7 linked regions of the Macaca mulatta genome follow. The protein of the gene in region 7 purifies or fractionates together with the protein of the main gene of each other region. This does not show direct contact. Links are inferred from orthologs where the notes say so. Each region holds a gene or a part of one and is shown on either strand. Other genes may lie near its edges. The genes, in order: GIT2, PDGFRB, TNIK, ARHGEF7, WASL, ABI1 and NCK1.

The links.
Region 1: the proteins of NCK1 (region 7) and GIT2 purify together in Homo sapiens (co-immunoprecipitation; 3 studies listed by BioGRID and IntAct, with this or other methods). This does not show direct contact. The link is inferred for Macaca mulatta from reciprocal best matches to the Homo sapiens genes NCK1 and GIT2.
Region 2: the proteins of NCK1 (region 7) and PDGFRB purify together in Homo sapiens (affinity purification with western blotting; 3 studies listed by BioGRID and IntAct, with this or other methods). This does not show direct contact. The link is inferred for Macaca mulatta from reciprocal best matches to the Homo sapiens genes NCK1 and PDGFRB.
Region 3: the proteins of NCK1 (region 7) and TNIK purify together in Homo sapiens (affinity purification with mass spectrometry; 3 studies listed by BioGRID and IntAct, with this or other methods). This does not show direct contact. The link is inferred for Macaca mulatta from reciprocal best matches to the Homo sapiens genes NCK1 and TNIK.
Region 4: the proteins of NCK1 (region 7) and ARHGEF7 purify together in Homo sapiens (co-immunoprecipitation; 3 studies listed by BioGRID and IntAct, with this or other methods). This does not show direct contact. The link is inferred for Macaca mulatta from reciprocal best matches to the Homo sapiens genes NCK1 and ARHGEF7.
Region 5: the proteins of NCK1 (region 7) and WASL purify together in Homo sapiens (co-immunoprecipitation; 4 studies listed by BioGRID and IntAct, with this or other methods). This does not show direct contact. The link is inferred for Macaca mulatta from reciprocal best matches to the Homo sapiens genes NCK1 and WASL.
Region 6: the proteins of NCK1 (region 7) and ABI1 purify together in Homo sapiens (co-immunoprecipitation; 4 studies listed by BioGRID and IntAct, with this or other methods). This does not show direct contact. The link is inferred for Macaca mulatta from reciprocal best matches to the Homo sapiens genes NCK1 and ABI1.

What each region holds. Positions count from the first base shown.
Region 1 is NC_133416.1:117,161,295-117,165,254, forward strand, and holds the start of GIT2 (ARF GTPase-activating protein GIT2), read right to left. Parts: upstream 2,801-3,960; 5' UTR 2,660-2,800; coding exon 2,608-2,659; intron 1-2,607. UniProt on the Homo sapiens protein: GTPase-activating protein for ADP ribosylation factor family members, including ARF1.
Region 2 is NC_133411.1:159,105,459-159,108,958, forward strand, and holds part of PDGFRB (platelet-derived growth factor receptor beta), read right to left. Parts: intron 1,326-3,500; 5' UTR 1,320-1,325; coding exon 1,280-1,319; intron 150-1,279; coding exon 1-149. UniProt on the Homo sapiens protein: Tyrosine-protein kinase that acts as a cell-surface receptor for homodimeric PDGFB and PDGFD and for heterodimers formed by PDGFA and PDGFB, and plays an essential role in the regulation of embryonic development, cell proliferation, survival, differentiation, chemotaxis and migration.
Region 3 is NC_133407.1:82,744,236-82,747,735, forward strand, and holds part of TNIK (TRAF2 and NCK-interacting protein kinase), read right to left. Parts: intron 1,634-3,500; coding exon 1,484-1,633; intron 1-1,483. UniProt on the Homo sapiens protein: Serine/threonine kinase that acts as an essential activator of the Wnt signaling pathway. Recruited to promoters of Wnt target genes and required to activate their expression. May act by phosphorylating TCF4/TCF7L2.
Region 4 is NC_133422.1:105,627,477-105,630,976, reverse strand, and holds part of ARHGEF7 (rho guanine nucleotide exchange factor 7), read right to left. Parts: intron 2,479-3,500; coding exon 2,340-2,478; intron 1,534-2,339; coding exon 1,474-1,533; intron 736-1,473; coding exon 589-735; intron 1-588. UniProt on the Homo sapiens protein: Acts as a RAC1 guanine nucleotide exchange factor (GEF) and can induce membrane ruffling. Functions in cell migration, attachment and cell spreading. Promotes targeting of RAC1 to focal adhesions. May function as a positive regulator of apoptosis.
Region 5 is NC_133408.1:163,488,482-163,491,981, forward strand, and holds part of WASL (actin nucleation-promoting factor WASL), read right to left. Parts: intron 3,222-3,500; coding exon 3,113-3,221; intron 1-3,112. UniProt on the Homo sapiens protein: Regulates actin polymerization by stimulating the actin-nucleating activity of the Arp2/3 complex. Involved in various processes, such as mitosis and cytokinesis, via its role in the regulation of actin polymerization.
Region 6 is NC_133414.1:28,130,678-28,134,177, forward strand, and holds part of ABI1 (abl interactor 1), read right to left. Parts: intron 1,711-3,500; coding exon 1,610-1,710; intron 350-1,609; coding exon 269-349; intron 1-268. UniProt on the Homo sapiens protein: May act in negative regulation of cell growth and transformation by interacting with nonreceptor tyrosine kinases ABL1 and/or ABL2. May play a role in regulation of EGF-induced Erk pathway activation. Involved in cytoskeletal reorganization and EGFR signaling.
Region 7 is NC_133407.1:39,868,716-39,872,791, reverse strand, and holds the start of NCK1 (SH2/SH3 adapter protein NCK1), read right to left. Parts: upstream 2,801-4,076; 5' UTR 2,702-2,800; exon of another isoform or gene 2,271-2,701; intron 1,295-2,270; exon of another isoform or gene 1,121-1,294; intron 1-1,120. UniProt on the Homo sapiens protein: Adapter protein which associates with tyrosine-phosphorylated growth factor receptors, such as KDR and PDGFRB, or their cellular substrates. Maintains low levels of EIF2S1 phosphorylation by promoting its dephosphorylation by PP1.

The sequences.
Region 1 (3,960 bases), on a different chromosome or scaffold from region 7:
CAGAGAATCAGTGAGGTACCTCACACATAGTAAAGTAGTAACGTTAGCTGTTATATCTTTTCTAAATTATTTTCTCAGTAATACAGATATTTTCTAGATGTGAAATTCACGATCACTGGAAAAAGTTTTTGATGGGAAATATTTAAAACATTGAACATTTCATGTGACCACTATACTACTGTATTGAAAATCTCCATGGAGTTGTCAAGTAATTGAACTCAGAGTGTGATGTATTTGAAACGAACCAGATTCATTAAAAAAACAAACAAACACACAAAAAAATAGAATATTTAAGAAGTGATCATGGTTAAATGTTTGCATAAAATAGAATCAAAATAATTCAATTTATTATAACTGTCACTATTACTATATCATCCTAAAAAGCAGAGATTGGAAATGTCCAGATGAAGGAGCTCTACAAAGATGCATAACAACACTGCTTCCTGCGGTATAGTACTGTCACTAATGGCCAAAAAAAAAAGACTGTTTTGAAGCATACCTTTGGTTTTCACTTATCATTCAGAGGATTTGCACTATTCTTTTTTTAGCAAGTATTTAACACATATTAATTAAGACAAGTATTCGACTAACCACTTTAGCATCCTGGATCAGAATCCCATGGAAAGAATATTAGAATGATAACGTGGTAAAATAAAAATAAGTTTGTATGAATGAGATTGGGTAAAACCCTTTAAGTTCATCTGGAGGCTTTATGCCTGGGCTCCAGGGACACCACAAATGAACTTCAAAAATGTCCGTGACTCCCCTAGACAAATCTTAGGTAAATTCGTTCACGTGCATTTTAGGGGAGAAGGCCTTAGCATTCATCAGAATCTCAAAGGGGTCCCTAACCCTACAGGTAATTCTCTCAGTAGGGTTTTGCAGAAAAGGCAGCACAAATTCCAGGCTGCTCAATTTCACAGAATATTTCAAGGTAGCCTACTTATATTCAAAACAGGAAGGAAGTGACTCAAGTCTCTGCAGATCAGGCGTATGAGACAACAACTAAAGCGATACAATGGAAGAGAAAATGTTCTGAAATGCACAAAATGCTGCAAAAGTATATTTAGGATGGCAATGGAGGAACAATTTTGCTTTGCCCCGTACCCCATCAAGAAGCAAAACAATATGCATTCCAAGAGGAAGTTAGAAGCTGGACACATGTGAATCAAACACATCACAGAAAGTTCGACTGAAAACAGGCAAGAAAATAAGGAAGTGGAACAAATAACATTTTTAGAGAAAACGATGGAGTTTGAGTTTGTATAACTCACACTAACTTGGTTTAGAAAACGCTTCTTTTTAAACTCCTCCACACCCCCTCCCTATCTTCAAAGGAAACTGGTAACACCTGCACTGTACCAGCCATTAAAACCACCACATGAGGTTTGAGTTATCACAGTTCTATTTACAATCAGTCTTCACTTCCAAATGACAAGCTGAAGATCAGAACAGTTGCAAAGCCAGTGGTGTTCAATGATTTGATTAAGATTGTTTATCGGACACTATTGTGCCAAGAAAGCCATGTTACCTTCGAATTAACTCAAAGCCAATACATCCAAGCACCTAAAACAGCATGTAATAATCTATCCAGAGACCTGACAATTCAGTTGCAATTGCTGAGATCCGCTTGATCTCTAAATGTGAATATTATGTATGAACAGTTATGCATCATTATGAAGGAATGGTTTAGCGTTTCAATGCCCCTATATTGCTGGTGATTTTGCGTTTGTTTCAGTTGTAATCAACGTATGATTTAGATAGTCAATTCTAGCTTTAAGGGACTGCAAGTGTTCTATTGTAGACAGCATAACGCAAAAAAGAAAAGCCTTAGATGATATGATCCTACGAGTATTCATTGAATCCTCCTCACCACTGAGCGTGATACTCCCGATTATCCTCATCGAAAAAAATGAGGAAATCAAGCCAAGTGACCAAGTGAAGTCACCAGCCCAAGGTCACCCAGAAGCAAAATCTAGTTTGAACCCAGGCCATTCAGATCCTCAAACTTGAGACACGCACTGCCTCCTAAGTGCTGGTTGTGTCTGGAAGACCCCGATCTACTGGCAATTCTCCCCGACAGAGTAGCTGTCGGATGTCAGGAGCGGAGAAGTCATCTACGGGGACCCTCTGGCGAGACTCAGGGAGTGTCATCCTCCCCGGGCAGGGCACCCAGGCGGAGAGAGGGTCTAGTGGGAGGTGACACCTGCAGCCTCTGGAGGCTGCAGCCGGGAGGACGCTCGCATTTTACTTCTGTAATTGGCTTTCCTGTGTATTGCCCAAGCCCCTTCCTGTTGGGGGAGCAGCCCTGGCCCCCGTCACCTCCCCAGCTGGCCTGGGACGGAGGGAACGGGAGGGAACTAGAGGGAACGAGAGGAAAGGGAGGGCCGCGAGGTACTGGGAGGGCGGCGGCCCCCTGCCCGCCAGGCTCTGACAGGCCTGGGACACGTCCTGCCCCAAGGCCGCCCCGGGACCTCTTCGTTGAGACCCTAGTAGCGGGTTGCGGACGCTTGACCGCAGGATGCCGCCTGACCTGAGTGGGCGGCCCCGGGGTAGGGGTCCGGGCCAGGAAAGCAGAGGGGAGCGGGCCCGGCCGGTGCGACTCACCCGGCCCGCTGCAGTCAGCGCACACCTCGCTGCTCCGGAGCCGTTTCGACATGGCTCCCGCCTCCCACCTGCCGGGAAGTAGAGGCCCGGGGACAGCAAAGGCGGCGGCGGCGGCGCTTCCGCTCTAACGGGTCCCAGCGGCAGCGGCGCTGACGGCGGCGCCTCTCCCCTCAGTGCCTTGCAGCCTTGGCATAGCACGCAAGCGCGGGGAGGCGCCCTTCTGCGAGTGTCAGGTCATGTGACCGGAAAGGGCACGCTGCCTTGTCGCCATCTTGAGTGAGGGCAGGAGACTGCTGGAGCATCATCTGTCCTACCTTTAAATATTGAATTTGGATCTCCCTCTCTGGCAGAGATTCCCCTCGTCCCAACTGATTAATACCAGGGGAAGCAGCAATATCTTGTGATGAGAACCCTGCAGCCACAACCTTCCTGAGGCAATCAATGGTCAAGTTCATTGATTCATTCCTTTATTCAACAAATATTTATCGGCCGGGCGCGGTGGCTCAAGCCTGTAATCCCAGCACTTTGGGAGGCCGAGACGGGCGGATCACGAGGTCAGGAGATCGAGACCATCCTGGCTAACACAGTGAAACCCCGTCTCTACTAAAAAATACAAAAAACTAGCCGGGCGAGGTGGCGGGCGCCTGTAGTCCCAGCTACTCAGGAGGCTGAGGCAGGAGAATGGCGTAAATCCGGGAGGCGGAGCTTGCAGTGAGCTGAGATCCGGCCACTGCACTCCAGCCTGGGCGACAGAGCGAGACTCCGCCTCAAAAAAAAAAAAAAAACAACAAATATTTATCGAGTACTTACCATGTTTTATACAATGTCCCAGCCACTGGAGAAACAGCAGTGAGCAAAGACTGAATTCCTAGTCCTTATGAAGCTTGCATTTTACTGAGGTAGATAAAGTAAAATAAGAGTGTATTATATGATTCCAGGCTAGGCGCGGTGGCTCACTCTTGTAATCTCAACACTTTGGAAGGCTGAGGCAGGCGGATCACTTGAGGCAGGAGTTGGAGACCAGCCTAGGCAACATAGTGAAACCCCATCTCTACTAAAAATACAAAAATTGGCCGGGCACGGTGACTCAAACGCCTGTAATCCCAGCACTTTCTGAGGCCGAGGCGGGTGGATCACGAGGTCAGAAGTTCAAGACCAGCCTGGCCGAGATGGTGAAACCCCGTCTCTACTAAAAATACAAAAATTAGCCAGGCACAGTGGCAGGTGCCTGTAATCCCAGCTACTTGGGAGGCGGAGGCAGGAGCTTGAACCCAGGGGGTGGAGGTTGCAGTGAGCTGAGATGATGCCATTGCACTCCATTCTGTCTCAAAAAAAAAAAAAAAAAAAAAAGAT
Region 2 (3,500 bases), on a different chromosome or scaffold from region 7:
CTCCCACACCACGGGAGCTGAACCCGAGCAGGTCAGAACAAAGGTGCTGGAGACATTGAGGATAAGCTCTGGCCCCGGGGGTGTGATGACCAGGCCCTGAGAGACCTGCGGTTCCAGCAGTAACAGCAGGGGCAGCAACAGCAGCTGGCCTTTGGGAGAGGAGGTATCAGACATCAGGGCACAGGGGCCTCAGCACCTCTCGCAGGGCTGAGCCTGTGAGGAGGCCACATATGCACAGCCCTCAAGTCCTTGAGGAGCACAGCTCCTTTATCTGACAGACTGGGGCTCTCCAGCCACGGCTCTGAGGATCACTCACCCAGCTTCAGGGCCCCAGGGATTCCTCCAGACTGCCTATGTCAGTCCCTTTAGACCCCAGCCTCTAAATCCTTCAGCAGTGCTGTGTGTAGGCAGTAGGCACCAGAAGGGGCCAGGAAATCCTCGGGAAGCAATTCCCTGGCCTCTAGTTCCTGCATTGCTTCCCAGGTCACTTTCTGAGCCTCCTCCCTACAGCTCCCCGCCCCCTCCCCCGACTGCCCAGGTTCTGCCCAAGGCCCAGAGGTGCCTCTGGGTGGGAGAGGGATGGGAGGGAGGGGCTCAGGTAGCTCAGAGTGGGGGCAGGAAAGATGCTGAGGCCCCTCTGGGCTGGAGGGGCCTGGGTTTGGGGGTATGCGTGTGTCAAGTGATTGGTTTCCCACCATGACATCCCCTGAACAAGGATTTTGCAGGCCACACCCTCCATGCCCCCTGGTGATAAAGATCAGGAGGGGAGGTGGGCAGTCAGGCAGCCAGTCCATCTGACAGCCAGCTGCCGGGCAGGCTGCTGGCTGGTCATTAATTTCTGGGTCAGCCACTCAGCCCCTGCAGAGCCGAAGACATGTTAATGGACAGGACTGAGGGGTGGGGTGTGCTGAGAAGCCCAGCAGGGACTTGGAAGCTCCCAGCTAATGAGGGGTCCAAGCCGGGTGCCGCGGATCTACCAGACCGAGGCCAGGAGGCCAGGGGTGTGTGCCAGAAGGTAGGATGGGGTCTGGAGGACCAATCAAAGGATGTGAGTTGATGGTTCTGGACAAGCAGGGGCCACTGACGCTTTCTGAACTGAAGGGCTGGCAGCTGGAGGCCTCCACAGAGCCCACTGGAAATCCCGGAAACTAAAGCCGAAGAGCAGGGCAGTGTGCCTGGTGCTTCACGCCCTGCCACCAGCACACGTCACCCCTGCCAGCTCCAGGGTTCCACTCCGCAGCCCCCCCCAGCTCCCCTACCTTATCTCCCATCTACCTACCTTTGAGGGCCAGAGCTGGCATCGCACCCGGAAGCCGCATGGTGTCCTGCAGAGTTAAAGAGGAGTTTAACACCTGGCCCAGGGCAGATGGAGGCAGCGCCAGGAGCTATCTCACCACCTGGCTCCTGCAGAATGAGCCCCAGCTTGGGCCACCCAGCCTTCATGTCCGAGGGGCTGAAGTCAAAAGCCACCACGTTCCAAGCCTGAAAGGGCACTCAAGACCACAGACCCTCTCCTCTCCACCCCAGATTCAGCCTTAGGGGGCCTGGCCCTTGCTTTGGCTCTGGTTGTGACTCTCATGTGGCCCCGGCTGCATCCCCAGCCTCTCTCTGAGCCTTAGTTTCCCCCTCTGTACAGTGAGGGAGGGGAAGTTGGGCTGGATGGTGTCCAGCGGCCTGCCAGCTCTGACAGCCTGTCCTCCGGGTGACAGTTCCAATACCAGGCTCTTATCTGCCAGGACAAATATTTGGGAAAGTGTGATGAAAGGCCTGGGAGGAGGAGGGGGGAGGCCAGAACCCAGAGAACTCCCGCAGCTCCACAAGCACAACAGGAAACGGAGGAGGCTGTGGGCTGTGGGAAGGGAAGCGGGGGAGCCGGGGCTGTGGAATGTGGGAGGTGGGCCTGGACCCCTTTACTCAGCTCAGAGCATATAGGGAGGCCCAGGGGAGAGTGGCTAGGGGCTGGGCCCAGGAGAGGTACCCTCGAGCAGCCGGGCCTCATAGGTCCTTGGAGACCAGTGAAGCCAGGCTCCCCACCTCTACTCTCAGGGTGCAGATGGAGAAACTGAGGCTCTGAGAAGGTGAGAAATTTGCCCAAGATTCCACAGCAGAGCCTGTCTGAGAGGGAGACAGAGAAAGACCTGAAATGACAGAAGCAGAAAGAGACAAAGACACAGAGACAGAGAAGAGGTGTCCAGAGAGACAGCACCAGAGGCACTAAGAGACAGAAGCACTAAGAGAAACACTAAGACAGAGGCACTAAGAGACAAAGACAGAGACAGACTGAATGGGGGCAGCCCTTGCTCTCCTCTATCTTGGAAGACACACCTCGGGTCCCAAGAGACCACCAGGAGCCAGGTATGCCAAAGTCTGCCTGTAGCATTGGCAGGAAGGAGGCCAGAGGATGGGGGGTCGCAGAGCATGAGCTTTGGGAGGTGATGACGTGACGAGGCAACAAGGAGCCTCCTCTGGCCGTGGGGCTGCCCGGCCTATCCTGCCTCTGAAGGCCATGCCCAGCTTGCCCCCGCCTCCCCATCTCATCCCTTTTAGTTTTCAGTTTAGGGCTGCGGACCGGGTTCAGGCCCCAGCACGCCACCTCTTGTACCATCACTCTCCCTGTGGCCTAAGTCCCCAGCTCTGGAAGTGGATGATGGTGAGTGCCGTACCTACCAGGGCGGCATTCACATGTCAGGGGTGGGACAGAGGCAAGGCTCCCCCAGCCTATGGAGCCCCAACCTTAGCTCTGCCCAACACCCCATGAAACAGTCTGAGCAAATCAGCTCTTCTCCTCCCCGCTCCCTTTCGGACTGCCTGCCTGAAGGTCTCCTCATTTCTTCCTCTCCCCTCTCTGATCTGCTCCTGACTCGAAGCCCAGCCCTTCTGACGCCCCCTCCAGCCTCTGCTCCCCACCATCCCTCTGCCCCAGCCCCTCCAGCTGGATGCTAGGCCTCCTTGGTCAGGAGGGAGCAGCGCCAAGGCGGAGCCAGCAGCCCCCACAGAGGCCCATCTGCCCCTCCATCGGTGCCCCTCTGGCTGCCCCCTTCCTGCTAGAGATCTCAGCCAAAGAAAATCATTAGCAGCCGAGGCTGGGGGAGGGGGTCACTTCAGCCTCCCTGCCCCTCCTCTCCCAGTCTCCCTGGCTGGCCACACTGTTTATTATTCTAAAGGAGGAATTTGGCCGGCTGGCCAGGAGAAGGGAGGTCACTGCAGCGGGGCTGGCCTGGCTCTGGAAGTCTGGGCTGGCCATGTGGGCTGGGCCTTCATGGCATGCAGCCCCCGACCCTGCTCCCATGTGGTACTCTATCCTCTCCCCTTCAGAATCCCTCCTGCTGGGCCTGGGGCTGGGGGTAGCTTAGAGACTCTGAGCTAGGGGGGATGCTTTTTGAATGGGCAGCAGAGGCCCAGAGAAGGACAGAAGCATGCCCCAGTCGCACAGCAAAAAGGCAGATTCAAGCTGTGGGGAGGGGACAGGCAGGCAGTGTGGATGCTGTAGGGAGGGTGTA
Region 3 (3,500 bases), about 43 Mb from region 7:
ATTACCAGTCATTTAAAAAAATCACTATTGCTGCGCACAGTGGCTCATGCCTGTAATCCCAGCACTTTGGGAGGCCAAGATGGGCAGATCACGACATCAGGAGATCGAGACCATCCTGGCTAACACAGTGAAACCCCATCTCTACTAAAAATACAAAAAATAAGCCAGGCGTGGTGGCAGGTGCCTATAGTCCCAGCTACTTGGGAGGCTGAGGCAGGAGAATGGTGTGAACCCAGGAGGCACAGCTTGCAGTGAGCCAAGGCACGCCACTGCACTCCAGCCTGGGTGACAGAGCGAGACTCTGTCTCAAAAAATAAAAAAAAAAATCACTACTGAAATCAGTGTATATTAATTTGTTCTAGGAAAGGAAATGTGATGTTGTGATCCCCGTAGTTGCGAATGCCATGGCTGACCAACATGTGCTTGATGGATTGGAATAAGAGAGTTGAGGATGATCACAGTTATGCCTTAGCTGCCTCACCAGGAATGTGAGCTGTGAATCCTTGTGTTCACCCACATACACATGAGTTAAAAGCTGTAATAATGCAGCAATGAATGGCAATCGTGTGTGTGTATGTAATATACTAAAACAACTTCTTTTAGTTATTGCATTTCATTAGAATAAAGTCCTCAAATTCTCAAAATACCAGTCAGCAGTAGCTTCAAACATTCCTGATAGTTTCTCCTGTATGTTAGCCTTGGAATTACACACAGGACACACAATTTACACTACACTGATCCTAATAAGTGAATCCATGTGCAGCATTTCCCTTTAACAGTTATGTTTCAAGCAATATGTCAGGATAGTAATATGAATATTTTAGGGCTAGTAAGATATATAATTTGCAGGACCCTGTACCAACTGCTTTAGATCCATTACCTCATTTAATACTAATGATAATCCTATGGGATAAGTCTTTTTATCATATTTTACAGATGTGAAAGCTGAGGATTGGAGAGGCTGCCTACTGTGTCCATTATTGCAAAGCTAATACATGCTAGAGCCAGAGTATGAGTGCCCCTGTGTCTGACTCCACTATACCACGCTGCCCTCAAGCTGAAGTAAGGAACTAAAGATAGCAAAAAAAAAGAATTTTCTCCAATAAATTAGTACCTGACCATTGGCTTTCTCTAACATAAAATGAACCAATTTCCCTTCAAAAACTGAATGTGGAAACTCGTCTACCGAATATAATTCATGCTCTTGAAAGAAAAATATCATATTCATTTTAATCTAAAGTCCAATGAGACAACATGTAAATGCCAAATGATCTCTATTATGTATTCTCCAGTTTTAGGAAGTCATGTAAATTAAATTTATGTATTTTAGTTATTAAAAGCAGTATACTTAATGAAGAACGAAAGTCCGTCTGCTGGTTAGTAAAGTTTGCATGACTTCTACTAAAACTGTGCAAAACAAATCTCTTTCTACATGCAGGCTGTTGTACACAGATTCCTTGGAAGTCTACTTCTGGGTACTTACATGAGATGGTATGTAGATATCATAAGAGTTTCCTGAATCAACATCAATTACATGGAAACCAGTGTGTGAACCAAAAATAACCTTTAATCTTTGACCTTCTTCTACCGTGAGATCAACTAGCAGAGGCTTGTGCTGGAGATCTGCAAAAGACTTTAAAAATCACCCCATCAGTATCCGCATCACTCAAAGAGGTATCTTAATAATTTTTTTCCTTTAGCCACTGTCTAGAGGAAGTTAACTCCTAACTTTATTAAAGTGAAAAGCTAGAAAATTTCTCTTTCAGTTTTAGGTCTGTTGATATTCTGGCTGTAGGAGGAAGGGTCTAGCATCCATTTTTGCCCCTTTCCCTACCCTTTGTCCTCCAGGTCAATGAAGTTTAAGCTGGTGCACAGGTGTAAATTTTGATAGTGGTAATGTATATTAAAGACCTGGTGCCTGGGTGCTGCTGTTTTTTCCTGTTTATTTCTGGCCTTTGTCCTCGGAAGAAGGCCCAGTTACCTCTCTGGCCCCTCTCTTTCCCATGTGGCAGTGAGGCCCATCCATAGCAATTACCCTTTCAAAGACAGCCTGGGAGGGACAGCCAAGGCCGGCTGTTTTCTCAGCCTGTTCAGTGTTAATGGGCATGCTCTGGTTTGGAATTTCTTCAGCGAATGAGTGGGCATAAGATTGGCACTTTCTCTTAATGTTGGAATCTGAGACTTGGGTTTGGGTGGTAGAGAAAGAGGTGAGAGTGGAACATCACAAGATTGATGGCTTGCATTGACTATTTGGGTTTAACTAGAAAGCAAAAAGAGAGGTCTTGTCAAGTTTGTGAAAGTTCTCTGTGTTTGAATCCAGAGCCCAAGCCCCACCTAACTGTCAAGTGTTCCTCTGCCATTTTCCTTTGCTATTTTTTAACCACACTCTACCTTTGGGCCTTGAGATCTGGGAGAGCATTTGTGAAACTACGATTGCCTTAGCTATAATGCCACTGCTACCTCTCAGACCCTTCTCTTCTCATCTTTTGCTAACACCATTCTGACAGCACAGGAAGCTCAAGCCTCCTGTCCTTGTCCTATGGGAAGGCTTTGCCTCTTGCCAGTTCCACTCTTCCCTGTTCAAGTCTTTGCCTTTGCTTTTCCCTCTCTCTGGGCTGGATCTGGTCTGTCAGAAAGAACATTTTGCACTCTCTCATGTGCTCTGGGTCATAAAATGATGGCAGTAACTTCAGAGCAAGAATGGGAATGGGATGTTGATTGAAAAGCTTTTGTGGAGACAGATTTTGGCAGAACAGGACACTTTGGCTTTTAGGAGTTATCCCTTAATTGTTATTAGTAACCTAGTGCATTCCAATTTTTTTTTTTCCATAAAAGTGAGGTTATGGAGGGGAGCCCATTTCCATTAATGAATCTATTTTCCTGAGCACATCACAAATAAGCCATCTGCACTAGGGAACAAGGTAGAAGTGATTCAGCTCTGAAGTGGGCCTACATAGTGTTCTAAGGTTTTGCCCTCCATGGTGAATGTGGCAGAAAAGAATGAATAAGGAACCAAAGGGAGATAACAGTCATAAAGGTGGGGAGAAAAAGTAACAGCCAATGAGACACAAAGAAGTAGACAGACATAAGCTGAGAGAGACAGGGAGTGTGAGAGAAAGCAGAAGGTAAGTTTACTTGGGCTATGGATAGGTTATGCGGCTCTGAACACATCTGGGTGCCTGTAAGTACTGGTCCTCCTGGTATTCGGGTGTCAGCTTCATGAGCTGGGGTCAACAGGACTAGCATATCCCCATCCCACTCCTGGCAAATCTCATGAGTGACCAATCCAACCATGGTGGGTACAAACTTAGACAAGGTAAAAAATGAAAACACAATCAAAATAGAAGAATGCAGAGAAACTAGGTCATTTCCATAAGTTAGCACTGGGGACATATAAGCATCACCTGCATTTTAGGGACTTCATCCAGAAAAATTTATGAGGATTAAAAGATTTAGAGACTAAGTTTAACTTAGTCTTTACTTTTGAAACAATAAAACCA
Region 4 (3,500 bases), on a different chromosome or scaffold from region 7:
TAAAATTCAAAAAGAGGTGCCTGTTTAGTGACCCACTGAATGTATGTCAATGTGAATCATGAAACAAACTGCTCGATTTTCACTGTGTGGGTGGGTATGTCCCAAAAATCTGAGTTGATCTCTCACTTAAACCAAACCCGTAAGAAAACTGTGACTCCTGTAAGCATATGTCAGCTAGCATACTTTCACAGGAAAGTATAATGACCTGAAAGCACTGAGAGCGGCAGGTCCCTGTGACAGCAAGCCTTGGTACAAAGTTGCTGGCCAGATAAGCGCATACAGCTCCGTGCAGATGTGTGCATGGGACTCCTGGCAAGTCTTTCCGCATGCTATCCTTCAGTTCACGTGGGTTTCAGGCCAGACTGACTTCAGCTGGAACAAACTGGTCAACAAGTCCACACTCAGCTCTAAGCCTCTCTAACAGACCATAAGCCTCTCTCCTGTGTCAAGAATAAAAAGTAGCTCACAAATTATAAGATAGAGCTTCTATTAGACGTTTTTCATTGCCTGAGATGCCTTTAACATCTTCTGTTACGAGCTCCTAAGAGTGGGACAGAAACCCTGATGCATACATGTGGGCAGCAGTACCTCGCTTCCAGCACACTGGATCAGGACCTGGGACATGTAAGTGACGTTGCCCAGAGTTTTAATGTCATCGCCCTCCCAGTTCCGGATGGATTCCGTCAGGATCTGCAGCTCAAGTTCTTTTCTTTTCCGGACTTCTTGACATTGGGCCTGAGAGACACAGAACAACACTGTTAACAGACAGAAACTTCCAAAATCTTAAGTTCTGGCCACATTGCTTTGCATCGTCCTTAAGACAATTATTGCTTTATATCTTACTTCTTCAGACAGATAATCTGTTGAATGATTTACTTAATTATACGGAATTGAAAGTATTTGCTTGAAAGTATGAAATCAAGTCAAAAGAAGCAACGCACACAACTGCTCTGGAATACTAAGTATTATCTTAGAAAAATATAGCAGATTTTGCCACTTGTACAAAAAAGAAAGGTGGACAGAACAAAACTGTATTTTCATTCTGGTTTTGTTAGTGTTTGCCAATATAGAAGACTGAAGAGAAGAAACAAAGCATAACTTGTGCTATAAAATAAGGCATATATTTCGAAAATGCAGTTGGTAAGACAACACAACAGCAGAGAAAATGGAACCACCATTGTTCTGTTTTGCAATAAATCATTAAAGACAACACGAATGAAGGGTAAAAAAATGTTTGAAATAATTTTAAAGTAGATCTAACATCAATTACACTGCGATTTTAAAAATTTTAAGTAATTATTCTATCAGAGTCCGCTAAAAGGAGTTTACCAGCCATAGAATGCCGACTCTGTTTTTCTTTCATGTCAGCACAAGTCATTTTTTAATCATTTGACTTTTTCAGTTGATAATTCTTTTACATTCATTTGTCACAATGATGCCTGGGGGGAAAAAACAATATGCTTAATCACTTACTGAAAGGTTTTTGAAGGCAGCCATAGATTTTTGAATATCTTGTCTATCTGTATGATAATCCTTTGAGTAAAAGAAACATACAATTAGCTTTCGTAAGGAAAAGCTTTTCTTAAAAAGGTACTTTCTACAGACCAGCTTGAAACTTTTCTAATACTTTTCAACCCTTAATATTCCCTTTTTCCCTCAGCATTAAAGTGTCAGTCTTTCAGAAAATCATGAAGCCATCAGACTTGGGGGAAACATACGTTGAAAGAGAACAGTCACGAGCAGCAGGGGTGGGGAAGCCAACACTTGCTTCATCAATAAAGTCTTATTGGAACACTGCCGCGGCTCACATGCAGTATCTAGAACGGCAGAGCCGTGGAGCTGTGAAGAAGACCCTACAGTCTGCCCCCTTACAGAAAAGGTTTGCCAACTCAAGCCAAGAGAGTAACTTTAACCCAAATTTCTGCTAGGATGCAACCTGTTATTCAAAATTAAAAGAGCATAATCATTCATTAAATGATTAGTACAGTATTACCCTATAACTTATGCACACATTGTTTGTAGCTGATGATCCAGATAAGACATCTCAACATTATCTGAAAATCAGTTCTCATGTTTCAGCTTTTGGAAACTTTTCAACCAGCAGCAGTGGGTAAAAGAGAGATAAGTGGTAAATGTTTTTTAATAGAGCTGGAGTAAGGAGAAAAACATAATATTTAACAAAATCATTTTGACAATCCACTAAGTAAAAATTCTTTGTAAACTCTGTTGGTTCTGGCTTCTAAAATAAATCATGAATAATACTTTCTTTCACAGTTAAAGTCTGACCATGCCACTAACCCTTGGTAAGGACTCCGAGTAAGAGAGTGAAAGTGCGGTACCTCCATGTGTCTCTCGAGCTCTTTGAGCAGCGTAGGGTATTTATCCAGGCGCATGAAGGGTTTGCTCAGGCCCGTGGTCAGCACGAGAATTCCAGGGCTGCTGGCACCTTTGGTCTCCATGAACTCCCCCAACTCCTCACTGGGCAGCAAGTGGCAAGGGAGACACTTGTGGTTAGCAATGAGAGGCAATGGTGGCTCTCTGATCTCCACGAGCAACAGCCAGAATTTATGAAACATGAGTGTTGCTTTTAACATCTGGAAGGCTCCAGCTTTGATCCCAAATCTGCGCTGCTTATCTGGAAATGCCAAAGGGGATTCCCACCCCTGAGGGGTCCCATTCCTGCTCTCATATGAGCAAGAGTAACTACACACAGCACAGGATGTGTGGGTCTCCATGAGATCCTACTGACGCCGAGGCCCTCTGGCACATCAGTGCCATGCAGACATGTCCAATGGAAACGTGCACGCTCAGAGCCAGAATGGAGTCCAGTAATCTCAGTCTCAAGGTGGTAAGAACAAGGACTCAGCTGCTCCGGTAAAGAGCTAGAGCACGCCAATGGCCGTCATTCCCAGAGGTGAGTTCGTCCAGCAAGCAGGCCCCACCTAGGTGCTGCCAGCACTCAGCCTGGGAGTAAACAATGGCTCTCGGGGTGAGGAGTGGGAGAAGCAGCAAGAGAAGAGAGCAAACGTTGATTTACGCTTCAGAACTTCAAAAGCTTTGTTACGTTTAATCCTCACAACACATGAGGAAGGAAGGGGTCCCTGCGTGCAGACAGCGAATGCTGATTTATGCTTTAGAACTTCAAAAGCTTTGTTACATTCAATCCTCACAACACGTAAGGACGGAAGGGGTCCCTGCGTGCGGACAGCGAACGCTGATTTATGCTTCAGAACTTCAAAAGCTTTGTTACACTCAATCCTCACAACACGTAAGGACGGAAGGGTCCCTGCGTGTGGACAAAGAAACTGAGTGCATATCCCAAAATTAAGGAGTTAGAAAATTTTAGATCTTCCTGTGTTCCTCTTTCACCATTCCCTTCACGGTGCCTCGCCTGGCTTTCCCTACAGTGGGTCCTCACGTGCGTCACCTTTGTCCTCAGTTCCCACAGCTGTGGCAGAGGACACGGGCAGGATTCTGAGGGGTCCAGCTCTTCACCCACA
Region 5 (3,500 bases), on a different chromosome or scaffold from region 7:
TACATTTATATATCTATACATACAGGACCCATGAAGGCCAAGTATATAAAGTGAGACAGTAGCTGAGTAATGTACTTGGTAATGATAAAGAGCCAGTAAGACTGTGTGACATATGTGTGGGTTACATGTACAGAACACAGAACCATCTTTTTCTTCTATTTTTCTCCATATAAAATTGATTGTGTGAAGGTAGTATTTGAAGTAGTACTGGAGTTGTAGTATTAGAACTTGAATAACAGAAGCCTGAGAGAGGCAACGTTATTTTCTCTTAGCCCTAAACTAAGTTGTTACTTTTACAACAATAATAATTATTTATTTATTTAAGTCTGATGGTCAGCTCTAAATTGTTACAGAATTTATTTGGAAAGGAGTTCAACTGACTTCATGTTAATTTTTGTGTTTACTTTCTAGCAAGGGAAATAATTTGCTACTAGCTTATGCTAGACATGCTTCACAAAATTTATCTGGATGAAAAGCATCAAAGACACCCAACTATGCTGGCATTACAGAGTGACAAAAGACAGAAACTTATCAGTATCTATGGTGAAGAGGAAGATGTAGCCAATAATTCCATCATAAGGTACTACCACAGAAATACTAATGGTTAAAAGAAATGGGTCTGAAAATAAGTAAAAACCATCCTATATTTTCATTATATTAGCATGACTATTATATATTATTAAAAAAAAAAAACAAAACGTATTGTAGGGAAATAATTAGCAGAACTCACAGATACCAGCATAGAATAAATGCATTTTCAGAATCATGTATCTCACAGAAGCCTTACATTTCTTATGAATGAATGAAGACCTTTCTTTATCTCTTCCTAGCAAACAACCTCGAAACAAAAGCTTGAGATTTTTAATCTCATTCCTGTGACATTCTATGACATAAAAAATTCAGGCAGTTTACCTCATCTGTGAGGATTAGGGCTAAGAATTTAGGCAATTTTCACTGTTTTTAGAGTTTGCTAAAGAAGACTATACCATAGATATAACCTTAACTTTAAATACCATGTGTCTACGTATATCCTACTGACGTGTAATTTAACAATTCAGACCTCTCCTGTGACTTCCAGACTCATAACCAAATGCCTACTCCAGATCTATAGTTGAATTAACAGGTATCTCAAATTTAATATGTAAAACCAAACTCCTAATCTTCCCTTTCAAACTTTTTCTTCCTAAGTCTTTCCCCTTTCCAGTTGTTCAAGTCAAAAACCTTGGAGTTATCTTGCACTCTTATTTTTCTTCAACTTTCATTTTCAAACCATCAGCAAACCCAGTGATCTCCACATTCAAAATATAACTAATATTTAACCACTTCTCATTGGTGCTATAAACCTGGTTCAAGTCTCCATGATCTCTTGCTTGGATCATTACTATACCTCTGCTAAAAACCCTCCAATGGCTTCCCATCACATTCAGAATAAAAGCTAGTGTACTTCAAGGGGTCTCCAATGACTTCTTGTATTTCATTCCTTACTATTCTTTCCCTCCCTCTCTTGCAAGCTCCCTGATCTCCTCATTGTTTCTCAACCTAACAGACTTTATATTTTCTGTTCTTTCCATCGGATACACTTTCCCTAGTTTTCTACATGGTTCACTTCCTGAACTGCTGGTCTTTTCTTAAATGTCACCTCAGTTAGGCTTTATCGTCCCTTATCATTCTTTATCATTTCAAAATGAACCTCTCTCTCTCTCTCAACAGCCTGCTCCCTATTTCTCTTTTCTGTTAGACTTTTGTCCTTAGTTCATGTCACCATTTAACATACTATACATTTTTCTAGTTTGTTTACTGCTTGTCTCTCTCTCTCTCATTAGACCTAATGCATGTCGATGAAGGAAGGGACTTCTGTTGTTTTGTCAAAATTTTATTACTATTCCACAATAAATATTTATCTCTATCTCTGTAATGGAACAAATATGCCTATTTAAGGAAAATAAACATTGCTCAAGGATCTTAAGACATGCACATCCTTACAGAGAAACAAAAGGAAGATAACATTTATTGAGCACCTACCATGTGCTAGGCAATCTGCTGATTAGTGATATACTGTTTAATTCTCACATCTATATGCTTTGTGAATTCTCTGAATGTAACAAACAAGAAACTGAGGCTCAGAGATTAAATAAATCTAAGAAGAAGAAAGGTCTGTTTCTAGCACATTATGTTAGAGAAGCTATTTAGCAAACCTTAACCACTCCAATCAGCAAAACTCATATTCTTGTCCTTTCTTTAAAGCAATATTCATTTATATGGTGGTATGTATATGTTTAACAATAACCTCAGAATAGGTACTGGTTTATTCAAATCAACCTTTTAGAAAATGATAAAGGTTTAAAAAAGGTCAGTATTCTTTAGCAAACTCTAGAAACAGTAAAAATTACTTAAAATTCTTAGTCCTAATCCTCACAGATGAGGTAAATAGCCTGATTTATTATTATTTTTATTAATATTTAATTAATTTTTTTTTTTTGAGACGAAGTTTTGCTCTTGTTGCCCAGGCTGGAGTGCAATGGTGCGATCCTGGCTCATCGTGACCTCCACCTCCTGGGTTCAAGTGATTCTCCTGCCTCAGACTCCCGAGTAGCTGGAATTACAGGCATGTGCCACCACGCCGGCTAATTTTTTTGTATTTTTAGTAGAGACGGAATTTCTCCATGTTGGCTGGGCTGGTCTTGAACTCCCAACCTCAGGTGATCCACCCGTCTCGGCCTCCCAAACTGCTGGGATTACAGGCATGAGTCACTGCACCCAGCCCTGAATCTTTTATGTCACAGTAATAAGATCCAAAAAGCTCAAGCTTTGTTTAGAGGTTGTTTGCTAGGAAGTCTATCAGCATTTCCTGATATAGGAAACAAAACGGTCAATATTCCCAAAGCTGTTCTTTCAATTTATGGCTATGGCTGTGGTGGTGTTGCATTGGTAAGTCTCAGACTAGTCACAGAGGCAACAACTTTTTAAAATACACCCTAGAGCCCATATCAGTAGTTACTCAATTAGCAGAGAGAAAGCTAGCAAAGACAGTCATAAAATAAAAATAACAGAATGTCATTCAAATTTATTAAACACACACACACTCTGTCTCACTCTCTCTCTCTCTCTCTACCTGAAGAATGAATGGCTTTGCTCCTTTTCTGCATCACTTCCATTAATGCACCCACAATTCCTGAAGTGGGTGCAGGTGTTGGTGGTGTAGACTCTGGGCCATCAGACACCTTGGAAAAGAAAGTTAGCAAAACTCAGTAATAAATCTTTAGCAAAGAATCTTTGTCTCCAGAAAGTCCTACTTTCTTAGAATGACTTATTATCGTAAAAGACAAAAAAGATATTAAACTGGCAAGTCCAGGACAAGATTAATTAAATTAACAAGAAACAAACTGCTGCCTTAAAGATATTATTCAAAAATATTTCCTTTCCATCTTAATGTATAAGCCAACAATACATTTCTAAATCTATGTTTATATTCAGATAACAAACCCTCTCCTGAATAGTAC
Region 6 (3,500 bases), on a different chromosome or scaffold from region 7:
AAATCTAAACAAACAACAAATAAAAAACACATTAAGTTGGTTATAAACCAAGCATTTCATATTATAGAAAAAGTTGTTTTATATTTGTTTACTGTGTAAGTGCAGAAGCCTTTCACCAGAAGTTAGTGATATTAGATTTAATACTTTAATCTTTGTATTATCACCTGCAACCTAATAACTATAAATGCTAGCACTCTACTAGCACAGAGGAGTTTATTATGAATTATGTAAAGTGAGTTCAATGGCTGCAATGGCTATGCAATCTCACCTATCACAGTGCTCACTGGGAGAAGTGGTGCCAGAGGTGGTGCTGGTGGAGCTCCAGAAGGAGGAGGGACAGAAATGTTTTCTAATAAAATAGTTTATAATTCAGGTCAGAGTACAAGAAAAGAAAACTCAACATTTTGAAACAGCAAGAAAGTACAATATATTGGAAATAAAAAGAAAAAAGATACCCACATGTAAAGCATGCTCAAATGAGTATGAATTTTGTAGGTAAAGAGGCTACCAAATTTATACCTGCCTTAACTATCAAATATGCCTATGTTTATAAGTGGCTTTTTCTCCTTTTTCAAAAATATGCTTGAAAAGCTAAGAATTTTTTTCTAACATTTTTCATTATCATATTTTTAAAATATACATTTTAACAATATAAAAAGTCTCCATTTCATTTACTAAAAATCAAGAGGCTAATTTAATGCCCTCCAAGGATTTTTGAAATTTTCATACTTTCTGAAAGTAAAATAACTTTCCTATCTTAATCTTATTTTACATGTATTGCATTTTATTGAAATATATATTGAATATCACAGATAAATGTAGTAAAGTCACAAAATAAGCAACCACCAGAGCAGATACTGGCCTGCAAGGCAACATTAAAACTCCTAGAAACATAATTCACCTTTATAGACACTGATTCTCCAGCTGGAGTATCATACAATACTGGTTTGCTCTTGAAATAATAAATGTCATTCTTGACTAGTATGCTAGGCAAATACAGTCAGCCCTCCATATCCATGGGGTTCTTCGTCCCTGGATTCAATCAATAATAGATCAAAAATATTTCGGGGAAAAAAGGGGATGGCTACATCTGTACTGAACATGTGCAGACTTATTTTTCTTGTCACTATTCCCTAAACAATACAATATAACTATTTAAGTAACACTTATATTGTATTAGGTATTATAAGTAATCTAGGGATGATTTAAACAATATGAGAGGATGTGTGTAGGTTATATGCAAATACTACACCAGTTTATAGAAAGGACGTGAGCATCCATGCATTTTGGTATCTGCAGGGGACCTTGGAACCAATCCCCTATGGACACTGAGGAATGAATACATTTCTAAAGCAAAATGGCTAACAAAAAGTTATTTAACAAAACTACTTAATATACAGTATATATAAGGAGAAACAGCTGGCGAAATCCTATAGACTTTGTGAAAAACAATCTAAAAACATTGTTAAATTTGTTATCAGCCTTTATTCTAGCAACAATCACAAATTTAATTAATAATTTTACTCAATGTGACTAATTTATTTCAGCCTTCCACAATAAAGCTCATAAATATTATCACGTATTAAACACAGATTAATAAATAACACACCTGGTCCAATAGTGGGTGGCGAAGGTGTAGGCACAGCAATGGGAATGCCAATACTACTGCTACCACTGTTTTCTCGACTTCCACTTCCTCCGCTACTTCCACTGAAAAGAAAAAAAAAATTGTGAAAAACCAATTCTAGAGACATATTAAAAAAAAAACTGTAATCACCCAAGGCCACTGAATACTCCTTTTATGTCATATAGTCACCCCTCAGTATTCTTGGAGGATTGTTTTCAAGAACCCCCTTGGATACCAAAACCCATGGATGTTCAAGTCCTGCGGCTGGCCCTAGAGAACCAGCGGATATGAAAAGTCGGTCTTCTGTATCCACGGGGTCTGCATCCCATGAATACTGTATTTTCAACCTGAGACGGGCTGACTCTGGGAACGCAGAACCTGAGGAAGGAAGGGAGGGAGGGAGAGAAGAAGCGGGGAAGGGAAGGAGGGAGGGAGGAAGGGAAGGAGAGATGGAGGGAGAGAGGGGAGAGGGAGGGAGGAAGGGAATGGGAGGGGGTGTGTGTGTGTGTGTGTGCATGTGTGTGCGTGTAACAAGAATTTTTTTAACTATTCATCACAAACCTTAATCCTAATATTTGAAATGGTTTCCTCTACTTCTCAACCTATCTGGAACCAATATAATGATAACACAGTACTTAAAACCATCTCTGCTGAAATATTTATCACCAACAAAATCTTACAGTACAATGAGTCAACAAGTGTTTATTCAAAACCTGCTATGAAGAGCAGTGAGCAATGCAGTGATGAACCACACTGTCTGAAGCTCATAATGGGAAAACTGACATGAAAAGGTAATGTAACAGATACAACAAAAGAGAAAGTACAAATAATGTGGAAGTAAATTAAAAGGGTAATCCATTCTAGTCTAAAATTAATATGAAAACTTCCTCTCATCTCAAAGAAAGGTGATAACACAAACATTTTCTGGAAAATAAGCATAATGACAAAGAAAGACAATAGTGAAGTTTCAGTGTGGTCATTCTAGAATAGTTGCTACTGATAAACTCTAATCAACTCCTCACTACTATTCTACTTCCTGTGGATGTACTGTCCTGTTAGCTGTAGGACGTGGCTCTCTCTAGTTGTTTCTAGTAAGGTATGGCACAAGCCTTACTTCTTGTAAGGTATGGCACAAACAACTAGATCTTATGCCATCTAGTTGTTTATAGTAATGTGTGTACATGTGTAAAAACATATATTTGTGTACATGTATCCTTACGCTCCCTATTATGTTTTAAAATCTACATGATTTGCTCAATGAGCCCAGAAATTTAAAGGGCAAAGATTTGCAATGCCTGGATAAGATTTTTATTTTCTTCTGCAATATGATCATTCTATAATTAGATTATCATATGCTAATGGAAGAAAAAGAAAAAAGCCATTTATATAACAGACACAGCTTAGATGTGAAGACCTCCCTAACTCCCTCAAGCCAGGTGATCAACACTTAGTTTTGTGCCATCACTGCATCATAGACATATGAGTATTTATCCTCTTATTATGCTCCTCTTCAATTACTGTCTTTTTTCCAACAAGGGGTTGGCAAATTACAGCCTGTGGGCTAAAACTGGTCCATTGCCCGATTTTTACTACCTGTGAGTTAAGAATGTCTTTTACATTTTTTAATAGTTAAAAAAATCAAAAGAGGAATAATATTTTGTAGCACATTAAAATTATATGAAATTAGAATGTCAGTGCTATAAATAAAGTTTTACTGGAACATAGCCACATTCATTTACGTATTGTCAATGGCTGCTTTTGTGCTATAATGACAGATCTGAGTAATTGCAACAGAAACCATATGGCCCACAAATCCTAAAATATTGACAATCTGGCCCTTTATAGAAAACGTGTGCTGATCCCTGTTCTAATA
Region 7 (4,076 bases):
GTAAGACAAAGTAAAAGTACAAAACAATGAAAAGGTAAAACTCTAGAAGAATTTTGAAAAATGAATATAGGCCGGGTGCAGTGGCTCACACTTGTAATTCCAGCACTTTGGGAGGCCGAGGCAGGTGAATCACTTGAGGTCAGGAGTTCGACACCAGCCTGGTCAACATGGTGAAACTCCGTCTCTACTAAAAGTACAGGCCCGGCGCGGTGGCTCATGCCTGTAATCCCAGCACTTTGGGAGGCCGAGGCGGGTGGATCATAATGTCAGGAGTTCAAGACCAACCTGGTCAAGATGATGAAACCCTGCCTCTACTAAAAATACAAAAAGTAGCCGGGTGTGGTGGCGGGTGCTTGTAATCCCAGCTACAGGGGAGGATGAGACAGAGAATTGCTTGAACCCGGCAGGCAGAGGTTGGAATGAGCCAAGATCGTGCCACTGCACTCCAGCCTGGGTGACAGGGCGAGACTCCGTCTCAACAAAAAAAGAAAAAAATATATATATATACATACACAAAAATTAGCTGGGCATGGTGGCACACACTGTAGTCCCAGCTACTAGGGAGGCTGAGGCACAAGAATCACTTGAACCTGGGAGGCAGAGGTTGCAGTGAGCCAAGATCGTGCCACTGCACTCCAGCCTGGGCAACAGAGTGAGACTCTGTCTCAAAAAAAAAAAAAAACAGTAAAGAAAAAAACCCAGAACCATGAAGTATCACTTAATATCTCTTTTATTATTTTCCTTTTTTTTTTTTTAATTTTCTTAATTTAGAGACAGAGTTTCACTATATTGCCTAGGCTGATCTCAAACTCCTGGCCTCCAGCTATCCTCCCATCCTGGCCTCCCAAAGTGCTGGGATTACAGGCTTGAACTACCCTGCCTGGGTCTCCTTCAGTATCTAACAAAACATTACACGTAAATTTTTTTTTTTTTTTTTTTTTTGAGATGGAGTCTTGCTCTGTTGCCAGGCTGGAGTACAGTGGCGATCCTGGCTCACTGCAACCTCCGACTCCCGGGTTCATGCAATTCTCCTGCCTCAGACTACCAAGCAACTGGGATTACAGGCGCGTGCCACCACGCCCGGCTAATTTTTGTATTTTTAGTAGAGACGGAGTTTTACCATATTGGCCAGGCTGGTCTCGATCTCCTGACCTCGTGATCCGCCCGCCTCGGCCTCCCAAAGTGCTGGGATTACAGGCGTGAGCCACCGCGCCCCGCCAACATTACATGTAGGTTTCAAATTTTATTCAGTTGGACCTGAAGGCACTGCAGAAATCTGGACAAAAGATAATGCCTGGAAAAATAAGCACACATTTTAAAATGTAATACATGAGCCAACAGCTGAGTAGATCTGAACACTCTGCAAACTATCGTTATGGATATTAAAGACAATTCCCACAGATCACAATTTTCCCAAAGAAGTCTCAGAGTTTGTGGTCAAATTGAAAAGACAGTACCATTTATCAACCAGTGCACATTACTATCAAGTTGTGAATGGGATGCCTATTGAAGAACATCACTGACTTCACTCCCACAAGAAAATAAAGTGTTTTAAAAAGAAAAGAACGAATATTATTGACAATTACCGAACAAAACTTTCTTCCTAGGTTATTTCTCCGTTTACTGTGTGACCTCGCTGAAGGCTGAGAGTTTAGGCACACTGGTTTCCAGGTGCTCAAGAAATCGTTATAGATGGTTTGTCATAAGTCTAACAAAGTAAGATTTTAAAAATGAGTACCTCTTAGCAACACTTACTTGTTTTGGAGGGACATTGAGCTGCTTTGCTCCCCACCCAAAGAAGGGTTAGGAAATTCTCCTTAACCTCATTCTTTCCTAATTTCTAGGGCTTCTTACCTAATCTAACGTGTATAATTATGATCAGGTGACTCCAAGTTCATCAGTTTGACTCCGAGAGCCTTTCTACGGTTTCTACGTCCTCCCTGAACAAAACTCAGCTTCCTGAGCTTCTAACGGCGAATTTAACTTGCATGTTAATATAGAAGAAAGGTTACAAAACCTATCGAAATGGTTTTTTTTTAACCAAACATATTACAACTCAAGTCAAAAGTTCACAGCCCCAGCAACTCGCGTACGAATCTGAAGCAGGTCCAGACGATTAAAGTCACAGCCCCGGACTAGAAAACGTCAGGCGGGTGGGGGGAGGGGCGAGGGCGCGTCCCGAAGATGTCCACCCGCAGCACCGCGCAGGCTGCCGCCTCCCCTCTTCTCGCGCTGGAGGTGAGAGCGCCCTTCCTCCTACCACGTCCTACCTTCCCGGCCTCGGATTACGCCACAGCTGGCAAAAGGTCTTTTTCAGGAGAAAACAGACAAGTCAGCCAGCGCGCCCCACACTCGACCTCCCAGCCTCGCAGGGGCGGCCGCCCGGGCTCTCACTCCGACGCAGCGCTCCAGGGGCTGACAAGGAGGCCGCAGGGTCGCGCTCCCCGGGGCAACGGCCCGAGGGCCTCGCGGAATCCCGGTGCAGAAGTTCGGACCCTCTGAGCAGCCTCCGCGCCCCCTCCGGCTCAGCTCCGAGCCTGCAGACGGCGCCCCCGGGGCTAACTCAGCCGGGAAGAGGAAGCAACGCAGCGGCTAACAGGCTGTGTGGATGGACAGCCGACTGAAGGGGGGTGGGGGTGTGTCTGCCTGCTAGCAAGGCCGTCTCACCTTCCTGCTGCCGAGCTGGGCAGCTCCAGCTCACCTGAGGAGGGCTCCAGGACGCCACCGCGGCCGCCGTGATGGCCGTAACGGCACGAGGCCTGCGCTCTGCCGCCGACGCGTAGCTCTCGGAGAGGGGCGGGGCACGCGCGGTGGGCAGGCGGATCCGCGCGGGCAGGAAACCCACTCTCGGCCCAATCTGATAGGTTCAGTCGCCCCCTTTCCCGGTCCCTGATGCGACAGCGGTCTGTGCCACACTGGGATTGGGCGGGCCCACATGTCAATCAAGCGCCGTGCGTGGTGTGAAGGGAGCGGAGGCTGCGCCAAGGAGCGAAGCGAGCTAGAGGGTGAGAAGCGCCGGGCCCGACCAGAACCGTCTTCGCTTTTCCCTGTGCGATTGCTCTGGCTGGTTACTTCGAGCCTTCCTTCTCAGCGCCGCAGGAGAGACTCCACAGCAAGAATGACTGTGTCCTGGGTTCAGCGCCCACTCTTCTGGGAGCTTCCCCCGGTTTCTGCACTTGAGGAATGTCTTCCCAGCGAAAGGTTCTTAGGAGCGGGGAGCGACAAAGAAAGACAAAGAAAAGCAGACCTGAAAATTGGGACCTGGGAGAAATGTAAGACGTGCTTAATTTGAGGCACAGACCAAAAGAAGCTGAGGGCCCGCTAAAAGTGTCCTTGTGCTTGGGCAGCTTACTTACATTACATTCTTGGCGGCAGTAGTGTTATGAAGACCACCTTCGGAGCCAGGTCTGCCCATTCTTAGGGCTCCAGCCACTGGCTGAGGTATCAGTAAGTTGGTTCTTCCCCTCGCCGGTACCTGCCTCATTTCTTTTTTTTTGAGACGAGTTTCGCTCTGTCGCGCCTCCGGGTTCGAGATTCTCCTGCCTCAGCCTCCCGAGTAGCTGGGACTACAGGTGTGTACCACCACGCCCATCTTTTTTTTTTTTTTTTTTTAGTAGAGACGGGGTTTCACCATGTTGGCCAGGATGGTCTCGATCTCTTGTCCTCGTGATCCGCCAGCCTTGGCCTCCCAAAGTGCTGGGATTACAGGCGTGAGCCACCACGCTCAGCCGCCTCATTTCTTAACCATCTTTGTGGCTCAGTTTAGAGTCGCTCCTCAGGGAAGTTTGCTGAGTTAGGTACCTTCTTTGGAGCATAGGTATTTTCTCCATCCGAGCTATTGAAATGGTTTGCCTGTATCCCTACCTAGATAGTAAACTCCACTGAATCAGGAACCATGTCTGTTCAGTTTCTCCCTAGGGCCTTGTAGTAGGGTAGATGGTCAGTAAATACTGTTGAAGGCATTAATATTTATTTTAATCCTGGCCCTGGCTATAAGCCTCAAAAGTTTGCAGTTTTCTGCATTTAACTTCAAATTATTTGATTGGTAATGCATGCATGTGGTTAGCCTGTGCTGT